3 linked regions of the Arabidopsis thaliana genome follow. The protein of the gene in region 3 binds, or shares a complex with, the protein of the main gene of each other region. Each region holds a gene or a part of one and is shown on either strand. Other genes may lie near its edges. The genes, in order: KIN11, AT2G28060 and KING1.

Evidence for each region.
Region 1: KING1 (region 3) and KIN11 share a complex: the UniProt entries of both Arabidopsis thaliana proteins name them as parts of the probable heterotrimeric complex.
Region 2: KING1 (region 3) and AT2G28060 share a complex: the UniProt entries of both Arabidopsis thaliana proteins name them as parts of the probable heterotrimeric complex.

What each region holds. Positions count from the first base shown.
Region 1 is NC_003074.8:11,126,320-11,134,818, reverse strand, and holds KIN11 (SNF1 kinase homolog 11), read left to right. Parts: upstream 1-2,713; 5' UTR 2,714-2,862; exon of another isoform or gene 2,863-3,010; intron 3,011-3,305; 5' UTR 3,306-3,308; coding exon 3,309-3,501; intron 3,502-3,630; coding exon 3,631-3,815; intron 3,816-3,909; coding exon 3,910-4,092; intron 4,093-4,187; coding exon 4,188-4,319; intron 4,320-4,416; coding exon 4,417-4,602; intron 4,603-4,677; coding exon 4,678-4,767; intron 4,768-4,852; coding exon 4,853-4,936; intron 4,937-5,019; coding exon 5,020-5,160; intron 5,161-5,296; coding exon 5,297-5,527; intron 5,528-5,812; coding exon 5,813-5,926; 3' UTR 5,927-6,199; downstream 6,200-8,499. UniProt on the Arabidopsis thaliana protein: Catalytic subunit of the probable trimeric SNF1-related protein kinase (SnRK) complex, a central regulator of cellular energy homeostasis, which, in response to seemingly unrelated darkness, sugar and stress conditions, activates energy-producing pathways and inhibits energy-consuming processes.
Region 2 is NC_003071.7:11,947,741-11,955,158, reverse strand, and holds AT2G28060 (5'-AMP-activated protein kinase beta-2 subunit protein), read left to right. Parts: upstream 1-2,905; 5' UTR 2,906-3,116; exon of another isoform or gene 3,117-3,381; 5' UTR 3,382-3,463; intron 3,464-4,515; 5' UTR 4,516-4,540; coding exon 4,541-4,567; intron 4,568-4,667; coding exon 4,668-4,985; 3' UTR 4,986-5,288; downstream 5,289-7,418. UniProt on the Arabidopsis thaliana protein: Regulatory subunit of the probable trimeric SNF1-related protein kinase (SnRK) complex, which may play a role in a signal transduction cascade regulating gene expression and carbohydrate metabolism in higher plants.
Region 3 is NC_003074.8:17,984,213-17,991,822, forward strand, and holds KING1 (SNF1-related protein kinase regulatory subunit gamma 1), read left to right. Parts: upstream 1-3,165; 5' UTR 3,166-3,346; coding exon 3,347-3,551; intron 3,552-3,933; coding exon 3,934-4,106; intron 4,107-4,224; coding exon 4,225-4,380; intron 4,381-4,473; coding exon 4,474-4,749; intron 4,750-4,827; coding exon 4,828-4,991; intron 4,992-5,079; coding exon 5,080-5,380; 3' UTR 5,381-5,551; downstream 5,552-7,610. Other genes in the region: AT3G48540 (Cytidine/deoxycytidylate deaminase family protein), read right to left, coding at 5,586-5,660, 5,762-5,863, 6,063-6,116, 6,383-6,446, 6,613-6,650, 6,767-6,825, 6,969-7,008, 7,406-7,481. UniProt on the Arabidopsis thaliana protein: Regulatory subunit of the probable trimeric SNF1-related protein kinase (SnRK) complex, which may play a role in a signal transduction cascade regulating gene expression and carbohydrate metabolism in higher plants.

The sequences.
Region 1 (8,499 bases), 6.9 Mb from region 3:
AAGACATACAAACCTACATATATTAGAGCGAGACCGACCCGGTCCATAAAACTTCTAATCCTATATTTTAAAGCCCAATTTGACCATAATAGGGCTACATGACTTTTCCGGGCTTTTTATTTCGAATAAACAAACTTATAATTTATAATATCTCTGAAAAAGAAAGAACATATGTATGACATGAGTCAATCAAAATTTAAATAACCACTAAAACTAAGTTAATTTAAAATAAAAGTTTTGTTGAACCAAAAAAAAAGGAAAGAAAAAGTTTAAAAACAAAGAAATAATCCAATAAATTGTTTAAACTTATACTAAATAAAAATATAAAATCAGAATACTTCAAAGATGTAAGGCACAATTAGAAAACTAGATTTAGGTTTTTCAATTCAAATTTTTTTGTAAAACAATTTTCATATTAACAAAAATATTTAACAAAACAAATATCAAAATATTTATGTAGGACTTTTTGTCCGATCCGATCCTAGCCGGACTAAGCTCCAAAAACATTTAGTCTAAAAGAGCAAATTTTTCAAGACATATATATATTTAACCCGAATTCGCTGTTTTTAGAGTAAGGCCAGGCCAGCATACGAGCATTATCTCTAGTTGACATGCCTAACTATTAGGCTCAACTTTCCACATACATTTATAAAACACTAGTGTTCTAAAATACGGCTTATACGGTGTATCTATACTGTACAGTTGGAAGCAGTACTGTATTATGGTTATACAGTTGTTAAATACAATGAAAGCTATATACGAGTATATACAATGAATTCTGTGTAAAAGGTGTATTAAAAAAAATGCTCAAAAACAAAAACTATGGTATTTTATTGGCAGGAAATTTATTTGGAATATTTTAGGCAAAAAACAATTTCCAAATAAGGGTAAAATAGTCATTAAAAATTTACTGAAAGTAGAAATGAAAATGTCAAATATGAAAGGGTATAACTGAAAAAGGTAGTGTGAAAAGGGCATTCTCAGCAATTATTCTACATTTGAACTATCTATTTTATCTTAATAAACTGTTTTAATTCTATAGACTACATCCATCTTATTGATGATATTTAAATTTTAAATAATAATTCATATACTTTTCAGTATTTAATTTAGTATTTCCTTAAACCAAATTTCAATCTTACATATTCAATTTTGCAATACAATTTAAATATCTATTTTATTATATAAAAATACAATTTAATTCGATTCCATACAATTCATATACAATTTGATTTTGCAATACAAATACAATTTTATTCTATACACTCCATCTTATTGTGTTAGTTTTCCTTCTTAGTTAAGAAAATTTTAAGTTAAATTTTTCGATATAGAAATATAAATTGGTATATGTATTTGTTTTTGTTAAATTTCCTATTTCTTTTAGAAAAAATATTTAAAAAATCTCGATTTTGCAATACAATTTAAATATCTATTTTATTATATAAAAATACAATTTAATTCGATTCCATACAATTCATATACAATTTGATTTTGCAATACAAATATAATTTTATTCTATACACTCCATCTTATTGTGTTAGTTTTCCTTCTTAGTTAAGAAAATTTTAAGTTAAATTTTTTAGATATAGAAATATAAATTGGTGTATGTATTTTTATTGGTTAAATTTCCTATTTCTTTTAGAAAAAATATTTAAAAAATCTCGATTATGCAATACAATTTAAATATCTATTTTATTATAATACAAATACAATTAAATTTGATTGTATACATTTCAAATACAATTCGATTTTGCAATACAAATACAATTTAATTCTATACACTCCATCTTATTGTTAGTTTCCCTTCTTAGTTAAGTAAACTATAACTTATTTTTTTTAGATATAGACATATAAATTAGTATATGTAAATATTTGTTTTTGTTAAATTGCCTATTTCTTTTAGGAAAAAAGTAAAAAAAAATCCGACACAATATCAACATATGAACGATTGACTTGTTACGTGTCACGATCAGTTGAGTTATTAACTTTAAAAACTCTACTTTATATAATAAAATGCGTCTGAAACTTCTTAATTTATCCGCTTTATCATTAGCACGCTTTTATATATAGAAAACTAGATTTTAACCCGCGGTATACCGCGGAGACAATTTATTTTTTAAAGTTACTATATATAAAAATTTGCAAATTATATTTATCTATAAAATATTTTTATTTTATAGTTTACGATTGTTATTAAGTAACGTCCTGTCAAACCCGTCCCGCCAATCCGTCCCGTAAAAAAAATTCACTGATTTTATTTATGATATGTTTATGAATCATTGTCTAAATATTTTTTAATTTTGTAGTAATTAAATGCTATCTAATATCTCTGCGGTTTGATGATTATAATCGAATTATTATAGTCATGTAGAAAAACAATATCAAAAATGATAATTTTGTAGTAATTAAATGATATTAAATATTTCGGAAGTTTTATTTTAGTAACTAATCGTGTAGTTAATGTGGAAAGATTTTGGGAAGATTGTCAAATATTTAATTTAAAGATTTTCTTTCTAATTATCAAAAACAATTATTAAATGCGAGTGGCAGCCACTGTAAATAAACTCCAACTCTAGGATTTATTTCACAAAGTGGCTGCAAAAATGTATATATAGATCATAAAAACAGTAATATAAAAATTTTAAACCTTAAAAAACTAGTTTTTCAAACAAAAACAGAAAATGGGCAAAAAGGCCCTAATTTAAGGGCTTGCAAATGGCAATAAATGTTTATCTGGGTTTTGTGGTTTCTTGATTCGTCATTACCAATTTTCACCATGAAGACTTAAAAAAACCTGACTCAGCTCTGCGTCACCTACGAGTTGGAAATCTGACTTCCCCAAGAATTTCTTCAGATTACATCGTAATTTACAATTCTGCCCTATTTATACCCATCAATCTGATTCTCCTTGTTTCTGTATATTTCTTCGCTCTTTGTTTGAACAATTTATCTGGGTTTTTGATTCTCGGATCTACTCCAAGACGGTTTTCGAAATTAACAAGCTTTTCAGGTAAATTGACTTTTTTTTCTTTGTAAAGGTTTATCAATTTTGTCTTCTAAACTCAAACTTGTGAGTCTCTTGTTTGGTTTCAGACCAAAACCACCATTACAAAGTAGTTATGTCGGTGGTTCTTGTCAGTTTTCTTACAAGCTTATGGTTGGTTTAGATTAGATTTGATGAAATGAAAATTGAGTTGAAGAATGTTTTTTTTTATTTGAGCAAGTTAATATGTTTACTGATGTTTTTCTATAGAGAAGTTGCTAAGAGAGCTTACTTATGAGTTTGATGTTGAATTGGGACACAGGAAATGGATCATTCATCAAATAGATTTGGCAATAATGGAGTGGAATCGATTTTACCGAATTACAAGCTTGGTAAAACTCTTGGAATTGGGTCTTTTGGGAAGGTGAAAATAGCAGAGCATGTTGTCACAGGGCATAAGGTTGCTATCAAAATCCTTAATCGTCGTAAGATCAAGAACATGGAGATGGAAGAGAAAGGTATATACAAGCACCGTTACTTTTAGCTTTAGTGGTTTCTAGAACAAAAGCTTTGATAATCAAATGTTTCTGCTTATTAGGTTTTAGTATGTATTTTTATCTTAATGTATGTATATTTCTTCTTTACAGTGAGGAGGGAGATTAAGATTCTACGGTTGTTTATGCATCCTCATATTATTCGGCAGTATGAGGTAATAGAGACCACGAGTGACATTTATGTTGTGATGGAGTATGTCAAGTCTGGAGAGCTCTTTGATTATATTGTTGAGAAAGGCAGATTACAAGAAGATGAGGCTCGTAACTTTTTCCAGCAGGTTTGTTTTCTCTTTACCATAACCAGTGTGTTTGTAGCGTATCATGTCATCTTTGAGTTTGAGTGTTGTTTGTGTTTGACTCATATCCGAATAGATAATATCTGGTGTAGAGTACTGCCATCGTAATATGGTTGTCCATAGAGACCTGAAGCCTGAGAATTTACTATTGGATTCGAGGTGTAATATTAAGATTGCAGACTTTGGGTTGAGTAATGTTATGCGGGATGGTCATTTTCTAAAGACGAGTTGTGGAAGCCCCAACTACGCTGCTCCCGAGGTATATAGTTTAGTAAAGTTACTGAATTGTTTTTCACCTATGTGACTATGTCTCGTTTCTCTTATGAGTGTCTTATCTCTTACTTCTTGTTGTAGGTTATATCAGGTAAATTATATGCTGGACCTGAAGTAGATGTATGGAGTTGCGGAGTTATATTGTACGCTCTATTATGCGGTACTCTTCCTTTTGATGATGAAAACATTCCCAACCTTTTCAAGAAAATTAAGGTACTGTACGTTATACTTTGATTCAGCTAAAAGACTCTTCTTAAATGGATTCATATGTATGTGAAGTAACTTATCAAGGTGTTTTTTTTCTCTTTAGGGTGGGATTTACACTCTTCCAAGTCATTTATCATCTGAGGCTAGAGACCTGATCCCAAGGATGCTTATAGTTGACCCGGTGAAACGAATCACCATTCCTGAGATCCGTCAACACCGTTGGTTCCAGACTCATCTCCCTCGTTATCTTGCTGTCTCTCCACCGGATACAGTAGAGCAGGCTAAAAAGGTTGGTTTCAGTGCCATTTGGAGATTAATAGAGTTCACTTGCTGTGATAGTAACAATATCTCTTATGTTTTGCAGATCAATGAGGAGATAGTTCAAGAAGTGGTTAACATGGGATTTGATAGAAACCAGGTTTTGGAATCTCTACGCAACAGAACACAAAACGATGTATGTAGTTTCCTGTCTCTAATGCTTTTAATCCCCGAAACTAGTTTCCAATAGTCACTGAAATGCCATTTGCTCCTTGTACCAGGCTACTGTTACATACTACCTGTTATTGGATAACCGGTTCCGTGTTCCAAGTGGCTATCTAGAATCCGAGTTTCAGGAGACAACAGTATGTGTTTTTCTTTCCTCTCAGTAGATAGCTTTCCAACATTTTTGACTAACATGTTCACCTTTTCAACGTTACTCATCTAGGACAGTGGTTCCAATCCTATGCGCACACCTGAAGCGGGCGCTTCACCTGTAGGCCACTGGATTCCTGCACATGTGGATCACTACGGGTTGGGAGCAAGATCACAAGTCCCTGTTGATCGAAAATGGGCTCTTGGACTTCAGGTTTGTTCCTGATTACTGATTCTTTTTGTTCCTCACCATAAAGTCTTCTGAATGCAACACACAATCAGATATCTGTACTCTTTGCCTCTACATAGCCAAATCGATAATCATTCTGTTACCTTGTTGTTTTGAACAGTCTCATGCGCATCCTCGTGAAATCATGAATGAAGTTTTGAAAGCTCTTCAAGAACTCAATGTGTGTTGGAAGAAGATTGGTCACTACAACATGAAATGTCGATGGGTTCCTGGTTTAGCTGATGGTCAGAATACTATGGTCAACAATCAGCTGCACTTCAGAGATGAATCCAGCATCATTGAGGATGACTGTGCCATGACTTCACCCACTGTCATCAAATTTGAACTTCAGGTAACTATAAACTCACACATACATTTGTATCAACAACATTCCTTGGAGAAAATAAACAACTGCCTAGTTCGGTTTGTTAGGGATATGAATCGATCAACGGGGTTTACATTCGTAGAATTGTGCTGGAGCAAAGACTAAGATCCTGATGTTGTTTTATCCCACTAGTAGTAGTTCAACAAAACTAAACCAGCTAGGACATAGACTAAAACCTTCTTTAGAACTTGAACCAACTGTTTTCGAAGAACAATTATACACTTTCTGAGTTCACTTTTGATTTTGAAACAGCTATACAAAGCCCGGGAAGAGAAGTACTTGCTGGATATACAGAGAGTTAACGGTCCGCAGTTTCTCTTCTTGGATCTATGCGCCGCCTTTCTTACAGAGCTTCGTGTGATCTGAATGTTTTAACCATTTGTTGAGACATTTTTTTTCTTTCATGTTCAATGGTTTGTAATAGTAGAGAACATAATATAATATGTGGGTGCAGTGTTTACTTTGCCGGGTTACTTTTATATACCTGGATTCTAAGTTAAACTCTACTGTAATAGTAACTATCCTTTCTTCTTTTTGATGGTTTTTAAGGTTTGATCATGTGTACATAACTTAGCTGTTTCATTCTAACTATTGTATTTCTCCTCTGATGCCAATTTTATACAACGTTTATATCAGACACATTATACATGTCATACCTAAAAACATTGCACGCAGAGTCCATCAAAATTCCATTTCACAAAATTCGGCTACCCAACTTAAGTCCTTAGCATCAATACAAGATGTGGAACACGATATTAATACAGAACATTGGAGAGCTACTTTGTGTGGACAATGCTTCTTGCAAAAGGAGTAAATAGGTCGCCGTCGGACAATAATATATCGGGCTTCAAGGATAAGTCCACCCCAAACATACATTGAATGTGTAGGGTAACACTACAGTACTCATCACACATAAAACCGCTCCTTCGGATTTATTTTGCTGATTTTTCATCATCAGTCGGTTCGGACCGCAAACTTCACACCAATACATCGTTGTACTTATCTCATCCCCATAAGAAAGAGTGAACATATGTTTATCATGCTTATACATTACCTTATGAGGTAATGTAGCACATTTGAAACACAAAGAAAAGTAGTCACACTCAATGCAATTGAATGTTTCCTTTCTGGAATAATGTCCTAGCTCTTTGCAAACTGAAAAATGTCTTCGCTTCTCTCCCGGTTTGGTTGTTAGGAATAAAGGATGCAAATGACTTGGATGGACTAGTGGCTCAGAAATCTTGGCGCATTGCATGTGTAGCAGAAAACAACATCATTCTTTACTACATTCATAGAAGAAACCAGCTTTACACAACCAAGGACAAGCAAAACATGTATCCTTATGATAGTCCATAACACCGTCATAAATTTCTGCCACCTTCGCAGAAAAAGTGTGTATAGCCTTCTTCTCCTGGTTGCCTAAATTTCTGCCAATTTAAGGAAAAACACTTCCACTTGTTATTCGTGGGCCGCAAGACTTCTCCAATCACATGGATTATTCCTTCTTTAAAAGTTACTTGTGCTTGAGGGCAAACTGAAATAAGTTTCTTCAACTTTGAATTTTTGAGATGACGAGGGAGAATATATTGGGCCTATGGGCTTAGTCGGTTTTGATATTTAGAATAGGTTAACTTTATGCTCAAGTTGTAACCTATATATAAACCAAGCAATGTAACCTAAAACCCTAAGAGATTCAGTTTATACAAACAAGAGTTTCTTGACATGGTATCAGAGCAAAACCTAAACTACTCAAGGGTTTGTTCGATTCTATGATCTAAACTTCCGCTAAAACAACTCTGTTTCTTATTTTCTGTTTTTTAAAACTATCTCACAAAGGAGAAAATCATGGCCACGAATTCTGCTACGTCGTCGGCTCTGATAACCTCCACCACCAATCGCCGTACAATATCTCCATACGATTTAACTTCCGGTGAGAACCCCGGAACCGTGATCTCCAAGCCTTTGTTGCGTGGTCCAAACTACGACGAATGGGCCAACAACATATGCTTGGCTTTGAAAGCTAGAAAGAAGTTCGGTTTTGTCGACGGTTCTATACCTCAACCACCAGACGACGATCCCGACTTTGAAGACTGGATTGCTAACAACGCGCTTCTTGTCTCTTGGATCAAACTCACGATTGAAGAAAAGCTCTCTTCGTCCCTATCTCACATCAATGACTCTCATGAACTCTGGACTCATATTCAAAAGAGATTTGGAGTGAAAAACGGCCAGAGAGTTCAAAGATTGAAAACTGAATTGGCAAATTGCAGACAAAGAGGTCTTGCTATCGAAGCATATTACGGCAAACTAACTCAGCTGTGGGGGAGTCTTGCCGATTACCAAAACGCAAAAACAATGGAGGAGGTTCGAAAAGAGCGAGAAGAGGACAAATTGCATCAGTTTTTAATGGGTCTAGATGATACCATCTACGGAGCCGTTAAATCAAATTTGCTTTCACGTGTTCCTTTACCAAGCCTAGAAGACGCTTACAACGCTTTAACTCTGGACGAGGAATCCAAAAATCTAAGTCGCACTCATGAAGAAAGATCAGATGGCGTCAGTTTTGCTGTTCAAACCAATTCTTCTAGGAATTTTTCTGACAACAGAGGAAGCTCTGTTTCATGTACCATCTGTGGACGCACCGATCACATTGCCGACAACTGCTTCAAGAAAATAGGCTATCTAGATTGGTGGGAGCACAATCCGAAGTCAAATTCCAGAAATAAAAATGGAAACAATTCAAATAAGGGAAATTCAACTTCGGGTGGTGTTGGCCGTGGAACAACAACCTCTTCGGTGGGCTCAATGACGGGCAAAAGCTTCGGGACTGGTCAAGTTAATCATGAAACCACTTCAAACCAGAATCAGTTGCAAAGTTTTGGTGTCAACACAGCCTTATCTGCGTCAACGTCCTCTCTCACATCCGCAGATCGCGTCGG
Region 2 (7,418 bases), on a different chromosome or scaffold from region 3:
TATTTGAGTAACTATTTACTATCTGAATGGGAAACACTATTTGGTTTTGTTGAAATTGGTGGCAAGTTTTAAGTGGGCTTGAAGAAGTAAAACGGCCCATACACAAATTTGCAATTATTTCCCTCTTTCCGATCATTTTCCTTGAAATCGTTCACGTGATCCATGATACTCCTCCTCCATTGCCACTCTATTTAGCAATTTACTCTTCTGCTCTCTTTTTTTTTTCTTTCTTTCAAGTTTCACCATGCAAAGACAGAAAATATAAGAAAATGCTTCATTTGGTATTCTTGGTTTTCCTATAAAATGAATATATCGACCTATCCAAGGCTAGTAGCTTGATTTTTGTAGTGGGTAACTTCAAAAGGAAGAGTCTCTCAAGACCAGGAGTTTGGTTCTCGGCGGTGGGAAAATGATTCATTTAGCCTGTTTTTGTTTGTAGTTCAAAAATCTACGTACCAAAACCCCGAAAATTTTGGTCAACCAAAAATAAAATCCGAACTATATAACTGCGTTATCATCTATTCGGCACTACATAGGAACTTGAGGTAACAAACTTAACATTTTCTTGTTTTTCTACTACAAGAAAACTGTCCAATTTTCGACCATGAATTTAGTCAGAAATTGGTCAAAAACAACCCTGAATAAAAGCAATAAAGAAGAGTTATCCAAAACTAAAAATTTGAATAAAAAAGCATAGAAAATAACACATACTTTTGCATTACATACGTCTTCATAAATATAGACACCAAAAGAATCAACACATCAGTCTTATTTGTATAATTAAATTCTCAAAATAGAAGAGAAAATAATCAAGGCGATATCTTGGACCGGGAGGTAACTTTAGATGAGGAACACTTAATGGAAACAAGAGGCTGATAATTTACAAACCGGCTCGGAGCGGATCTTGGTCGGAACCCTTTAGGCATACAACTCTTTACTTGTGTCCCATGAAAAATCTGATTCCTCGGATTCAATTTGACCGTGTCTTCGACTGATAAAGGCATCATCGACGAGCTTGGAACACTCTCCAGTGGTATTAGTCTCCCTCCAGCGTACAAGAATAAAAGGTTTAGAGTGATAATGACAATATGAACTCTTGTGTTGAACATTGGGTTTTAGTTTGAAGTAATTATTTTTGTTTTTTTGAGAGAGTTTGGAATGATAATGTGAGGGATATATAAGTGGGAGGAGATATACACTGGTTTAGGGTTAAAGTTCATAAATGGGCTCGTGAGTGATGGCTGGAAACATAAGAGAGAAGAGTAAGTAGGAGAGGACAGAGGCAAAATGGCTGGAAAATGGTATTAATCAAAATACGATTTTATATGTGTGATAGAGATACAAAAAAGTGTTGATGGGGTCGGGAAGATCAGAAAGAGGTAGGAAAGTCCGTGAGTTTCAGAAATTACAATCAAAGATCAAACATTTGTCTTTGCATTTATGAATTATGACACACTCACACGCAATTTTCTATATTTTCAAACTATTGTTTCTCTTGTTTTAAAATGGTTTGGAGATTGGACATGGATTTTTAAATATATATATTATTATGTACACGGTTGCATGGGTTTTCGGGACTATTGGATTTTGCTTTCTTTTGGATAACAAAAACACGATAAATATTTCATTAAACCATACAAATCTTCGATTGATAAATACATATACGAAAACATACCTAAGGAAAAGGAATCCATTGTTGTAGGATTTAGGTACCATGCGGTTTTCCAAACCATAGAGTAATCTCATATGTATTGAAATTTAAAAAAAAAAAAATACAAAGAAGAACTAAAAAACAGAAAAAAAAAACTAAGAAAATAGGGAAATTAAGTTGGAGTCTCTTTAATTTGTTTTTTTTTTGTCATCTAGAGTTATTTTAATGTTACCATGATGAAATACTTGATAAAATACAACATTAAACCGAAAGAAAACGAGATTTTTTCGAAGTTTAAGCCCTAAGTAAAAAAGTCATAAATAATACTACAAAGCAAGAGGAAAAAAGCAATAGTAGTTGAAATCCCACCAAAACTATAAGTCGCATAGTTCTTGAAGATTATTTGAAAGAAAAGTATCGCGGATGCCCACCACCAACCAACGATACACAAGTCCTCCTATTGAGATGAACAACAACCTTCAGATTTCAGAATTTTTAAGCTTTATAACCTGATAACCACTGCCCAAACTTTCTTTCGTATGTGGTGATGTCATAAATCGACAAGAAACAATAAACATTAAGATTATGTGCCTTCATTGGATCATGGACTGAAAATTAAGCTCTTCGATCAACTAAAACAAATTTATCATCATTGTTTTCATACTCGCTGCTAAGTTTGCAGGGGAGTATTAGAGTCCACAACTAAAACAAGTCCAAACCCAATGTGAGGTCTACATAAGTAGAATTTTAACAAGTTAGAAGATTCATATAAACAATTATGTAATGAGAACTATGATTGTAACTTTGAGAGAACTCTCTTCCTTCATCTTATGAAATATCAAATCTAGAAACATTGGCTTTTGGTGACAAACCTTAAGCTCCTTTACATTTTTCTCTTCTTTACATTTCAATAAAGCTCACTAGAACTATTGCATTTCTATCTTTATATAATAAGCTCAATGAACATCAATCTATATTTGTCTTAAAAATGTCAAATAAATAGAAGTTTCATGAAAGGACCAGACCTCGATCAAGTCTGAGAAGCATAGACAAGGAGTGAAGATTTAGTCTCGATAACACCATTCTTAAGAGACGAAAAAAGGTAAAAGATCGAATCGCATAGAATCAAAGAAATCTTCACATATTCAGAGGAAAAACAGCATGTCTAGCGAACACTAGAGTCGAACAAAAGCAAACCACCAATCACACATCCTTATTTGTCAATTATTTATTTTGGAAACTAAAAAGAAAGTTAATGAGTAAAATAGTTTCCATAAGAAGAAAAAAAATGTTTTCTGAGGAAAGAAAATGTTTTCGAAGGACAGCAAAGTTTAAGCCAATAAGCAAAACAAAAGCTGATGCTTGTCGCGACTGTGTTCGTCAAGAATCTCCAGGACGAACCCAATCTTCTCTCTCGAAGCTGTCTAAAATTAATCAATCAATCATTGAGCTAATCATATTCTAGGTTAAGTAAAAACAGAGTAAACCCTCTCTTTTTTTCTCTTTCTCTGCCTTTCTCAATTTCGTTTCGTCTCCTTCGTTCTTCCAATTTCCGTCTGATTTTATACGAAATTTGCATTGATATCGAAGTAAAATCGAATACCCATGATTCAAAATTTCATTTTTTATGCGACTGATTCCTCAATTTTGATTTTCCGGTGATTTCTAGGGTTTTCTATTAGGTGGGTGTTATTTATCATTTGATGGGTCATTTACTGATGATTTTGCAGGTTTTTGTTTTAAGGATTTGTGTAGACTTTCATTGCTGCTACGTTTTTGAAAGGGTAATTTGAAGGGCTTAGCTTCCCAAAGGTGAGAATTTTAACTCCAGTTTGGCTTCTGATATTGTGTTCATTGTTATGTATTTTTAAGCTTAGTAGTTGTGTTTTAAAGTTGTTCCAGTTTGGTTGATAAGTGTGTATGTGTGTTCATCAGATTGGGTGAGTACAGTTCTTTCATTGATATCTCCAGTTGATTTGTGGGAATTTTGTTCTGTGTGTATAGGATTTAGACCTCAAATATTGGATTCTCTTTAAGCATTTAAGTGCCTGGTTTCTTCATCATCACTTGATAGGAGGACTTTACAAATTTTATTCTGAACATGGAATTTGGTTAGCCGAATAACTTCGTGGGGATTAGTTTCTCGTGCAAGGAAATTCTTCATGGTTCTGTCTTGGAAGTGTTTGGAATCTTGAAGCTTGATAGATTTTCGATGTAGGCATGATGCGGTTTTCTTATAGGTTTAAAGGGTCTTTAGCTGAGATATGGTTCCTATGGTGTGTAATAGGTTTAAAGGGTCTTTAGATGAGATAAAACTGTGCAAAGAGTTCATATAATAAATGGTTAAATCCTATATATTATCTGTTCAGTGTACATAGAGAAGAATTAGCTGTGGAATTTGGATGTACATGATAATAACAATGTAGTTTATGTCTTCCAACTTGTCTCTGTTGTGATAATGATCAATGTGTTTCTATTCTAACTCCTGTGGTCCATTGATTTTTGAATCCTTTGTCCACCTTAGTACTTTCTTCGAAGAAGGCATGGGAAAATATGATTCTCTGGTCCAACTTTCTTAAGACTGTCTGCATCTTTGGATCCTTAGATTTGTCTACGGGATTATGAATTATTTGACTTTTGATACCGATTAGACAAAAGTCTTACATTTCACACAAATAAGAGTTTGCATCATTGTAGAGAACAACATTGTTTTCATTTCTGCTTCAGTGTTTTTGAGTTGAAATGTAAACACCTCTTTCTCTTAGATTAGTTTGAATGGCACTTGAGCTGGTGTGACCTACATTCATTTTGATTGTTTACTTTGCATGCTATTGCGGTTTAGTTATGATTATATTTTGTTTCAGGCACTAGGTGGCAATCTTATCCAAGATGAACAGTCAAAATCCTGATGATCATGTAAGCCAGCTAAAACACCTTTTTGCCTTCAACCAACTAATCGAGTAATTTCCAGTCTCCCGCTCGATTTTTCAATCTTTTATCGTTTTCTTAAACATAGGAGGACACAACGGTTGTGGGATTTGAAGTACCTGTATCACCGGTTTCAAGTTACAACAATGTGTATTCCTCAACCGAAGATGAGACAAGAGATCCTCCAGCAGTACCGCCACACCTTCAACACTCTCTATTAGGCAATCAGGGTAGCATGGAACTGGCTTATGCGCCACAGAATGTTGTCCTGAACCACCTCTATATCGAGAACCGAGACGCCCCAAGATCTGTTGTAGCACTCGGTTTCTCGCATCGGTTCAGGACTAAGTTTGTCACTGTGGTGATATACAAGCCTGTCCAAAGAAGAGGGAGCGCCAATGTTTGAATAATGATACCTCTTTTTAAGTAGTGTTGGGAATTTGCTTCTTTATGGATTGAATTTGGTATACAAAACCATCTGGTCCGTACTGAATTTTATTCTTCTCTTACAGATTCGATTTAGACGGTTTCTAGGTACATTCGATTGAAATCATCTTCTTGTTCGGAGTTTATATAAAATCTCCATGCATTTTTATTTTTTAGGCCCAAAAAAGCTGATAGACGTGGGCATTGTTTGTTTGTAATAACTCCCTTAGATTGGGTTTAGTTAAACGAGCCCAAATATCGCTAATGAAGTTCTTTACTTGCTCATATGTAGTGTTACCATAAATTATTTAAATCTTTCGTAGCTCCAAAAAGGAAAAAAAAAAAAAAAAATCTTAATCAAAACTTTCTATGTCCGAGATAAGTTACCAAACTAATGCTCTAAAACTGGATTGGATCGTCGGATCAATGCATTAGTCTAAAACTGGATTGGATCGTCGGATCATTGCATTAGTTCGGTTTGAATGTAGATCACTTATACTCTCGTTGTTTTTAATTAAGTGTAGTTTTAAGGTTTTTTATTTTTTTTTAATATAAGTGTTGTTTTCACTTTTCTATGCAAACATTAAATGTATTTAATAATTTTTAATTAATTATATTTTTTTACTGGTTGGATTAGTTGTAATTAATGATGTTTTTATAGGAAAAAGATAAATTAAATAAAATTTGTATGTTTTCTTAATTTGTGTGCAAAAACTTTAAACTACAAATATTCAGTAACAGAGGGAGTATATAAAAACAAAGTTGGTTTGTGCATGGGAGCTTATTTGCACAAAATTGATTAAAAAATGGGTTCTGGATATTAATAAGACTATGATTAATATCCAGAACCCTATATTTTTTTCAATTTCATCGAAAGTTTCATCAATGTAACGTTAAAACAAATTATACATCTTACAACCGTCAGAAACTACTTTAAATCCATGATATCACATATATGAAACTAACATTATTATTTGAACAAATTAAAAAACATTATATTACGCATTATAACATTGAAAAACAAAACAAAATAACTAATATAGAATAAAATAAATTGTATCCGGATTGGAAATTGCTTATCTGATATTTTTTTTAACCGTATTTTAACTTAGAACAAAAAAAACAGAGTGTAGGGAAACATAAATTCTACCAAATTCGAATATATAAGAAAAACATAAAAAAAAATTAACAAATAAATTAAATAATGGAAAAAGCAGATAGGAGAGCTAATGGTTTAGTGGCGAATCTAAATTCTGTCCAAAGAATTGTCTGACCTCCCCTAGCTCAACATCTTGGGAAGAATATTAATTTATCCGTTTTGTTCATCCGCCTAAAGAGATAATTTATCTGCAAAGTTTTTTTATATTTGTAAAGTCATTCGGTTTTGCCAAGTTTTACTAGGTCTAGGTAGATTAAAAAGTAAATTCGGTTTGAAAGTTATATTTGGGTTGGATTACTGTCCAAGTTACGGGTATACCGGTCCAAATTCAATAACACATCCAATAAAATTTTCGATCTTAAAACATCTTCTTTGACCTGTCCGGATAGGTAAATGTCTAAATCTCTTTTTGAAATTAGGTATGAAATCTCATAGAACTAGAATGTAACTCCAAAATGATTCTTGAACATGAGTGTGACTAGCCAAGAGCATACCAAATTTAAGATCATTATGATATGTCCAAACTCCAAATTTAAGCCACACTTATTTTCTCAAAATTATACAGAACTATGATTTACTAAAATTGGATTCTCTGTCTATTTTTGGTATAGCTATTATCCTAGTGAATTAGCACAATGTTATTATATGCGCTCTCTGCTAAAAGTAAAAACCAGCTATCTTGTCAAAACAAAAATAAAAAGTTTCTTAACCAACACATGAAACTGATAAATACTATATAATATAAAATTAACATATATCGCTATCAAATCATATATCGTAGGTCCATAATCTTTCTTTTAAAATTCATATGAGTCTTTTTAATTTATTAATTTTGTCGTGCTCATAATGTTTTCCCTCTAAATCCTAGTTTTTGTAGTTTTCTGCTATGCAGGTATTTGTAAACAACTTATATTTTTGGAAATTTGGACTCTAAAATATAGAAAAGGCTATAAAATAAACACTGTGATGTGGCATATGTGTTGTACACCTTTGAATCTGACAATAAATTACTCGATCTAGTGTAACTTTTGCATATGAGATTTTCTTTTGTCGTCTATATATTACTTTGTTTCAAAGTTTAATAATACAAAAAAAAAAGTGTCTTTCATTTGATTTGTTGACACAGAGCAAAGCCAATGAGGATTCGAAACGTTGTAATTAGTACTCATAGTTGGCTGACTTTGTCTATCGACATAATGTGTTGCTTCTCTCATTATGAGATTCCATTAGTACAATTTTTTTTTTCGGCGCATC
Region 3 (7,610 bases):
TTTGATATTGCCTATGCGGTCAATCGTTTATCACAAATTATGCATCGTCCAACGGAAGATCATTGACATGCTGCTAAAAGAATTCTAAGCTAGCTACCTTGATGGGACACCCACTCATGGCCTCTTTTTCTCGGCAAACAACAAACTCATTCTTCATGCATATTCAAATGCAGATTGCGGTGAGATTCAGACGATTATGTACTCGTACATCTTGTTAGTGCACCTTCAGTCAGGTCAAACCAGAAGGAGTGTTGATTGCTGGAACAAACTGGAAGCTGTTTCAGAAGATTAAAGTGAAGATCAAGTAATTGATGCTGACGTGGATATACCGCCAAATGAACGAATGACGTGGAGATCACAACAGAATGAGTTCGGTTTGGAAAGAAGATATTCACGCAAAGATCTGGAGTGATCCAAGATCTTGAAGACTAACCTAGAAGACCAAAGACCTCGATGATATAAATAGAGGTGCTAAGGTGCTTGCTAGAGTTGGCCATGATTGTGAGTGAAAAAGCTAGTGCAACGCTTTTCATTGTTAGAGACTAAGGTTTAGTCTGATTGGAATTCTAGAGAGATCAAAGAGTGTGTTCTTGTGATATACTCTTGTGTGTTTAGAGAAATCTCAGGTGACAAGATATAGTAGTTTAGATCTTGTGTAAAACCAATTAAGGTAGTTGTAAACTTCTTAATCAGATTTCTAATAAAGTGATACTCAGTGGTTCTTAGTTTGGGGAATACGATTCTTGGTTCATCCGGAATTTCACATCTACCTAGGACGACGAAACCCAATATCTTGGACAACCAAGAAACGGAAGGGGTGGCAAGATCATCTATAGAAGTAGAGTATAGGGTTGTCGCAAACACGGCCTCTGAACTAAGTTGGGTATATATGTAATATTTTCACATAACTTGGAATTACTTTCAACACACCACTTGTTGTGTACTGCGACAACGTCAAAAATATCTTCCTTTGTGCTAATCCGGTCTTACACTCAAAGATGAAGCATATTGCTATAGATTATCATTTCATCCGTGGTTAAGTTCAACAAGGTGCTCTCCGAGTAGTTCATATCAACACAAAGGACCAATTAGCAGATGTGTTGATGATTGGAGTGTCACAAGCCTCTCCATCTTGAGGGGGCGTGTTAGTGATACGATTACGATTCACATTTATCTCATAATATTTGATTACTCTGTTTTAGGTAATGTCTTAATTGAAAAAAACTAGAGTCTCGTCTCTTATTCTTATATAAATATGTTGATGTACAAAACCCTAAATATATGAGAAATAGTTTCTTAACATGTTCAGGTCATCTATAAGGCAAGTAAAACACATGCTTAAGTCATAAAATAGAATCTAAAGAGACATTATTCTGAAATGATCAACTTGGTCTACTTAGCCTAATTTTAAGTCAATACATACAAATTTGATCTCTCTAACTATATTTGTTTTTCTCTTTCTAGTGTTCTTTTTCTTTCCAATATATATACATAGCATATTTTGAATTCTTTTTGTTTTATGGAGTAACGTCAAATATTATAATAGCCGCATATAAAATTAGAATTTATTAAATATTAATTTATAACTTTTTTATTGTAGACAATTATTTTAGGAAAGCAAAGTATATTTAGACGAAAATAGTATTAGGATGAATAATTTTTTGAAAGTCCTAATGTTGCATATTTTTTGTTTTGGTGAACAAATTTCGTGTTGTAGTTCTTAAACATCTATACTATTAATTGGGAATCATTGAAAATAAACAACCTTACGAAGGGTAAAATATTACAAAAATACTATTGATTGTTAGTATTTTTAAATAAATTCTGATTAATTTAAAATAATTATAATTATGCTTTACATTTAGAAATATATAAACAATAAATTGTACATACTTATTTTGAAATATTTTGGTTTTCTTTTTTCTTTTTTTCAACCTGATTTTTTTTTAAATAAATCCATAATATATTATTGAACAAACTTTTGAAATAATGTAAACTAATACATTTTTCATTCAAAACAAATTATCCAACAAAAATAATTTGGATTATGAGTACTATATAAAATAATTTGAAACCAAACTTGACATCAAATTAAATATCTAACTGGTATGAGTTTGGGTTATGAACACTATATAGCATGTACGTATTTTGTGACACAAATTCTATTTGTGATGTTTACAGGTTGGTAGTATTTTTTTTCCACATATACAGACGGGTTATGAGACGAAAAATTTATGATACATACATCACAGGTTTTCCATTCCAAGAAATATAAGTCAAATATACGTTTTTATTTTCTAAACTAATCAAAACATTATAACTGTTATAACAGTAATCAAAACATTATAACAGTTTGATTACTGGTGTAAAATAGGATATAAATTTGGTTTTAGTTTGGGTTATTTATCTGTGTGAATTCGGATCTTAAAATATAATTATATACCAACATAATTGAATTTCGATTATTATTCTTAACTTTATAATATTTATACTATTACAAAGTTTAATTATAACAAAATATTATATATTTTAAAAATCTATTTAAAAAGTTCTATTTTATATGTATATGAGATTTCAAATATCTAATATATTGTATTATAATATATATTACAAAATAAAAAAAAATAATTTACATTGAATTAAAAATATGAATCCGCACATACGTAAAAGTTAGGATCTAGTAATTTGTATAAAAAAGAAAGAAGAAGATAGTTATCCATTTCATAGGTCGGCTGCTAATTTTTGGCGGATTTCTAATAATTATATACAATCCAATTAAATAAATGAAATATGTCGTGGAAAGTGGAAACTATATAAAGGATAGAGATAAGTACGACTTCGACAAATGGAGATATATTATCATTATTATTATTATAATCATTATCTTTCGCTATTCCTGACCAATACCCAAATGATCTCCGCTACTCTTTCCACGTGTCAAAAGCACTGAATTGAACGGATGAGATCTTAAGTCACTAACCAAAACAACACTTGAATTTTTTTATAACAAATCACAGTTCCACCCAATGAAATCCATTTTGTTTCAAAATAAACCCGTATCTTTATAATGAAACTGAAAGATTCAAGGATGTTTTTGATAAATTAAAAACTATGTAGGGCTTCATTCATAAGATTTAAGACAACAGGGTTTATGAATTTGTCTCTGCTTCACGATCTCTCTACTATGGTGTACTGTATCTTTCAATCTATAGTTCAGTTACAAAGATCATCACAGCCAATTTTAGAAAACTTCTGACGGAAAATAAAAAGAGAGGATTTATTTTTATCTTTCTGTGTTACCGGAGAATAAAGACGGTACCTTTTCACTGTTGACTTAACGGAGAAGATGGCGACTGTTCCGGAGATAAAGATAATGAGAAGCGAGAGCTTAGGTCATCGGAGTGACGTGTCGAGCCCGGAAGCTAAGCTAGGGATGCGTGTGGAAGATCTCTGGGATGAGCAGAAACCACAGCTCAGTCCTAACGAGAAGCTCAACGCTTGCTTTGAGAGCATCCCTGTCTCTGCTTTCCCTCTCTCTTCTGATTCACAAGGTATGAGGATTTTGATGATGTGGGTGTTTGACCATGAGCTGATCTATAATTGGAACTGGTAATTGTGTTGAATTTGAATCATGTTCTATGGAGATTGATTTTGATTTTTGTGATGCAATTATTGATGGGTTCTGTGATCTCTTGGTATGTGTTTGTTGATGACTTGTAGTAGGAATATGTGCTGTGTGTTGAAATTCAAGTTATTGAAAGTTTTATAAGTCAGAATTTGGAATTCAATCCAGCTTGTTGGATACTCGAATCAGTTCGATTTAGGGAATCAGAATTAGTTCTTGATGGTTTTTGTTTCTTAGTCTCCTTGTAGAATCAGAGTACTTATTGATTCAGTTCTGCTGTCTCACATCTTTGTGGTTTCCCTATATAGATATTGAGATAAGATCAGACACAAGTTTGGCTGAAGCTGTTCAGACACTATCGAAATTCAAGGTCTTGAGCGCGCCTGTTGTAGATGTTGATGCGCCTGAAGATGCCAGTTGGATTGATCGCTACATCGGTATTGTGGAATTTCCAGGCATTGTTGTCTGGCTTTTGCATCAGGTAATTGTTCTCCAAAAAATACGAGAGGCGACTTGTTTTTGTCATGATCAAATTGGATTGTGGTACCTAGTGAACTATACTTCATGTCTGTACTCTACTTGTCTCCTTTAAAAAACAGTTGGAGCCACCATCTCCAAGGAGCCCTGCTGTTGCAGCTTCAAATGGATTTTCTCATGATTTCACCACCGATGTTCTGGATAACGGAGATTCAGCAGTAACTTCTGGAAACTTCTTTGAGGTCCTTACTTCTTCAGAGCTATACAAGAACACCAAGGTGAAGCTTGTTTTTTTATGAAGGACCTGATTTCAGTTGACTTTTTTCTCCTGATTACGGCTTCTGAAATGCGTTGGATATTCTCTCTGACAGGTTCGAGATATCTCTGGAACATTCCGCTGGGCACCGTTCCTGGCTCTGCAGAAAGAGAACTCCTTTTTGACCATGCTGTTACTTCTTTCTAAATACAAAATGAAGAGCATCCCGGTGGTTGATTTAGGTGTAGCAAAGATCGAGAACATTATCACACAATCAGGAGTTATACATATGCTGGCAGAATGCGCGGGGCTTCTCTGGTTTGAGGATTGGGGAATCAAAACTCTCTCTGAAGTCGGTCTTCCCATTATGTCAAAGGACCATATCATAAAGGTCAGTTTGTAATCTAACTCATAGCTCCATTGAGAGTTTTTTTTTTCCTTTTTTAACAGATCATTATTTCTCTTTCAGATCTATGAGGATGAACCAGTTCTTCAGGCATTCAAGCTGATGAGGAGAAAGAGAATCGGAGGCATACCTGTCATTGAAAGGAATAGCGAGAAGCCAGTAGGCAACATAAGCCTTAGAGATGTTCAATTTCTCCTCACTGCACCTGAGATCTACCATGACTACAGGTTAATACTTCACAAATCCTTGTGATGATGATACACCGAGTTTTGCAGCATTGTCAAATCTTCAATCCTTTCTCTCTCTTTATTTTAGGTCAATCACAACGAAGAACTTCTTAGTATCTGTTAGAGAGCATCTTGAGAAGTGCGGGGATACATCAGCTCCTATCATGAGTGGTGTGATTGCTTGCACGAAGAACCATACACTAAAGGAACTGATCTTGATGTTAGACGCGGAGAAGATCCATAGGATATATGTTGTGGATGATTTTGGTAACCTTGAAGGACTCATCACTCTTAGAGACATCATTGCAAGACTTGTCCATGAGCCATCCGGCTATTTTGGAGATTTCTTTGATGGTGTTATGCCTCTTCCCGAAAACTACCGAGTCTGAGAGAAAAATGGTATCTTTCTTCTGTAAATTGTCTTTTGTTTGGTGATAATGCTTCTGTCTGTTTGTGCTTAAGTTCTCGAAATTGTGTTATTAACGTTTAACAGAAATAAGAAAAGAAGAAAGAGCCTGTCTTTGAGTGAATATGTCTGAAATACAATAACTCTTAAGATTCTCGGATTTGGCCCTACATTTTGAATTTGAACAATTAGGTCTCTGGTTGGAGTAAGTGTTCTTCGAACTTGATCAAGATCTCATCCATCTCTGGTTGATGTTTCCTGACCTGAAAATTTTGGTTTCAGACAGATTTAGATACCAAATGAGACTTCCCATTACAATCACTGTAGAGAAATTTCATGTGGAAATCTAAGTGGCTTTAATTACTTTGACGTTTGCCATGGATAAGAGCTTGTGAGAAGCTACATAGGCAACATCTGAGTCATTTGGTCTCTTTTCCACAAAATAGATTACCTCAGCAACACCAGACTGCAAGAAAGAAAACCGAAATGACAAAAGTCCATATGATTGTGATGATCTACTTGCATCAAATTGGTTAATTGGACTAACTAGAACATTTGGTTTTTATATGACTGCTTAGCTGAAGACATTGACCATAAAAGATTACTAGAGTAGCTTATTAAGGATCCAAATTTGACAAATCAAGCCAATGGTATATAGAACAAACCTGTAAAATAATCTTGGCACATTCATTGCAAGGGAACATTGTCACATAAAGCTTCTGCAAGAGATTCGAGGAGCACAAAACAAACTCATATAAACCATCCACACACAAATACTTCGGAACAGAAACTGCAGCAGAGTTCCCTAAGTTTTCTATACCAAATAGCATTTCCAACTTATTAGCTTTTGCGCAGAAACCTAAAAGAGAATATTCTGACAATGATCTTGTGTAGGATACTTTAAAAGTTTTAATCTTTTCACTCAAGCCAGAAACACCATGATTTGTGAGAAAATAAACACTGAACAAATTCCAAAGAAACAAACCTGGCCAGCCGCCGATGCGTGGTTTGTGTTTAGTATGGCATTGACTTCAGCGTGACAAACATATCTACAAAATCAGAGTCATGAACATCAGAGCTTAGCAATGAGCCTAAACGGATGAGAACTGAAACATCTCACCGTATTACAGATTCCCAAAGAAAGTGTGCACAATACTCATCAAACAAGAACTTAAAGATTCAGCCATAGTTTGCATCACTAAGATTAGTACTTACGGATACTTGGTCTCTAATGGGTCCCCAGTTCTTGATTTCTGCAAAATTGGTGGGGAGCAAATTAAGAGAAAATTAATAAATCTAGGGGAGAAAGTTCCTTGCATTATCTCTAGACAACTTCTGTATATTCTTAGAATTCAGATGAAGGTAATACCTTGGCCCAAGGAAGTTTGTCATCAGAGCAGCCTCTTGGAAAACCATTATAGCCAATCCCTAAATGAAAGATGAAAGTTTTTGAGTCCTCGTTTATATGTGTCTCGCATGTACCAGCTAAGTGACAAAATGAAATAAACTATACAACCACACTTCATGTTGTTCAAAGAGATCAAAACACAAGTGTGATCGTATTATCTTACCAAGGATTACACCATTTTGGCTCACCAAACATGCGCCAACCTGCACAGCCATAAGACCGGGAAAGATAGTCAATTTTTGAATGCATCCAACAAAATCCATCCTTTTTGCATCATATGATCCATCAGAAATGGATATGAAATTGCCACAAAAGGAAGATATAAATTTCGAATTTGTGAACCTTTAGTCAAAACTATACTCTAATCCTAAAGACCTTAAAGTCCATAAACTATACTCTAAATGTGCTAGACATCAAAACACCAATGCATCCATTCATTACAAAATCAGCCAGTGCGATATCTTAACACCGAAAGAATACCTCCACTTTGATGATAGAAAACTATATAGTATCATGAACATAATACATTTTGAGCAGCTTACACATATATAACTGTTTGGATACTCATGTTGTTCAAATATCACAAACAACAAAATTTACCTGCCTGTTAGGATCCTTGGATCGTTCTGCAGAAAGGAATGCAATCGCCATGAAATAATCATCCCATGATAAGTACCTTCACAACAATTCAAACAAAATTCTACCATTAAAAATCAAAGCAGATTCTAAACTTGGGATTTTCTGAAAGTTGGAAACTTTAGCTATGGAATAACGAAATTAGATATATTGAATGGAATTATGACAA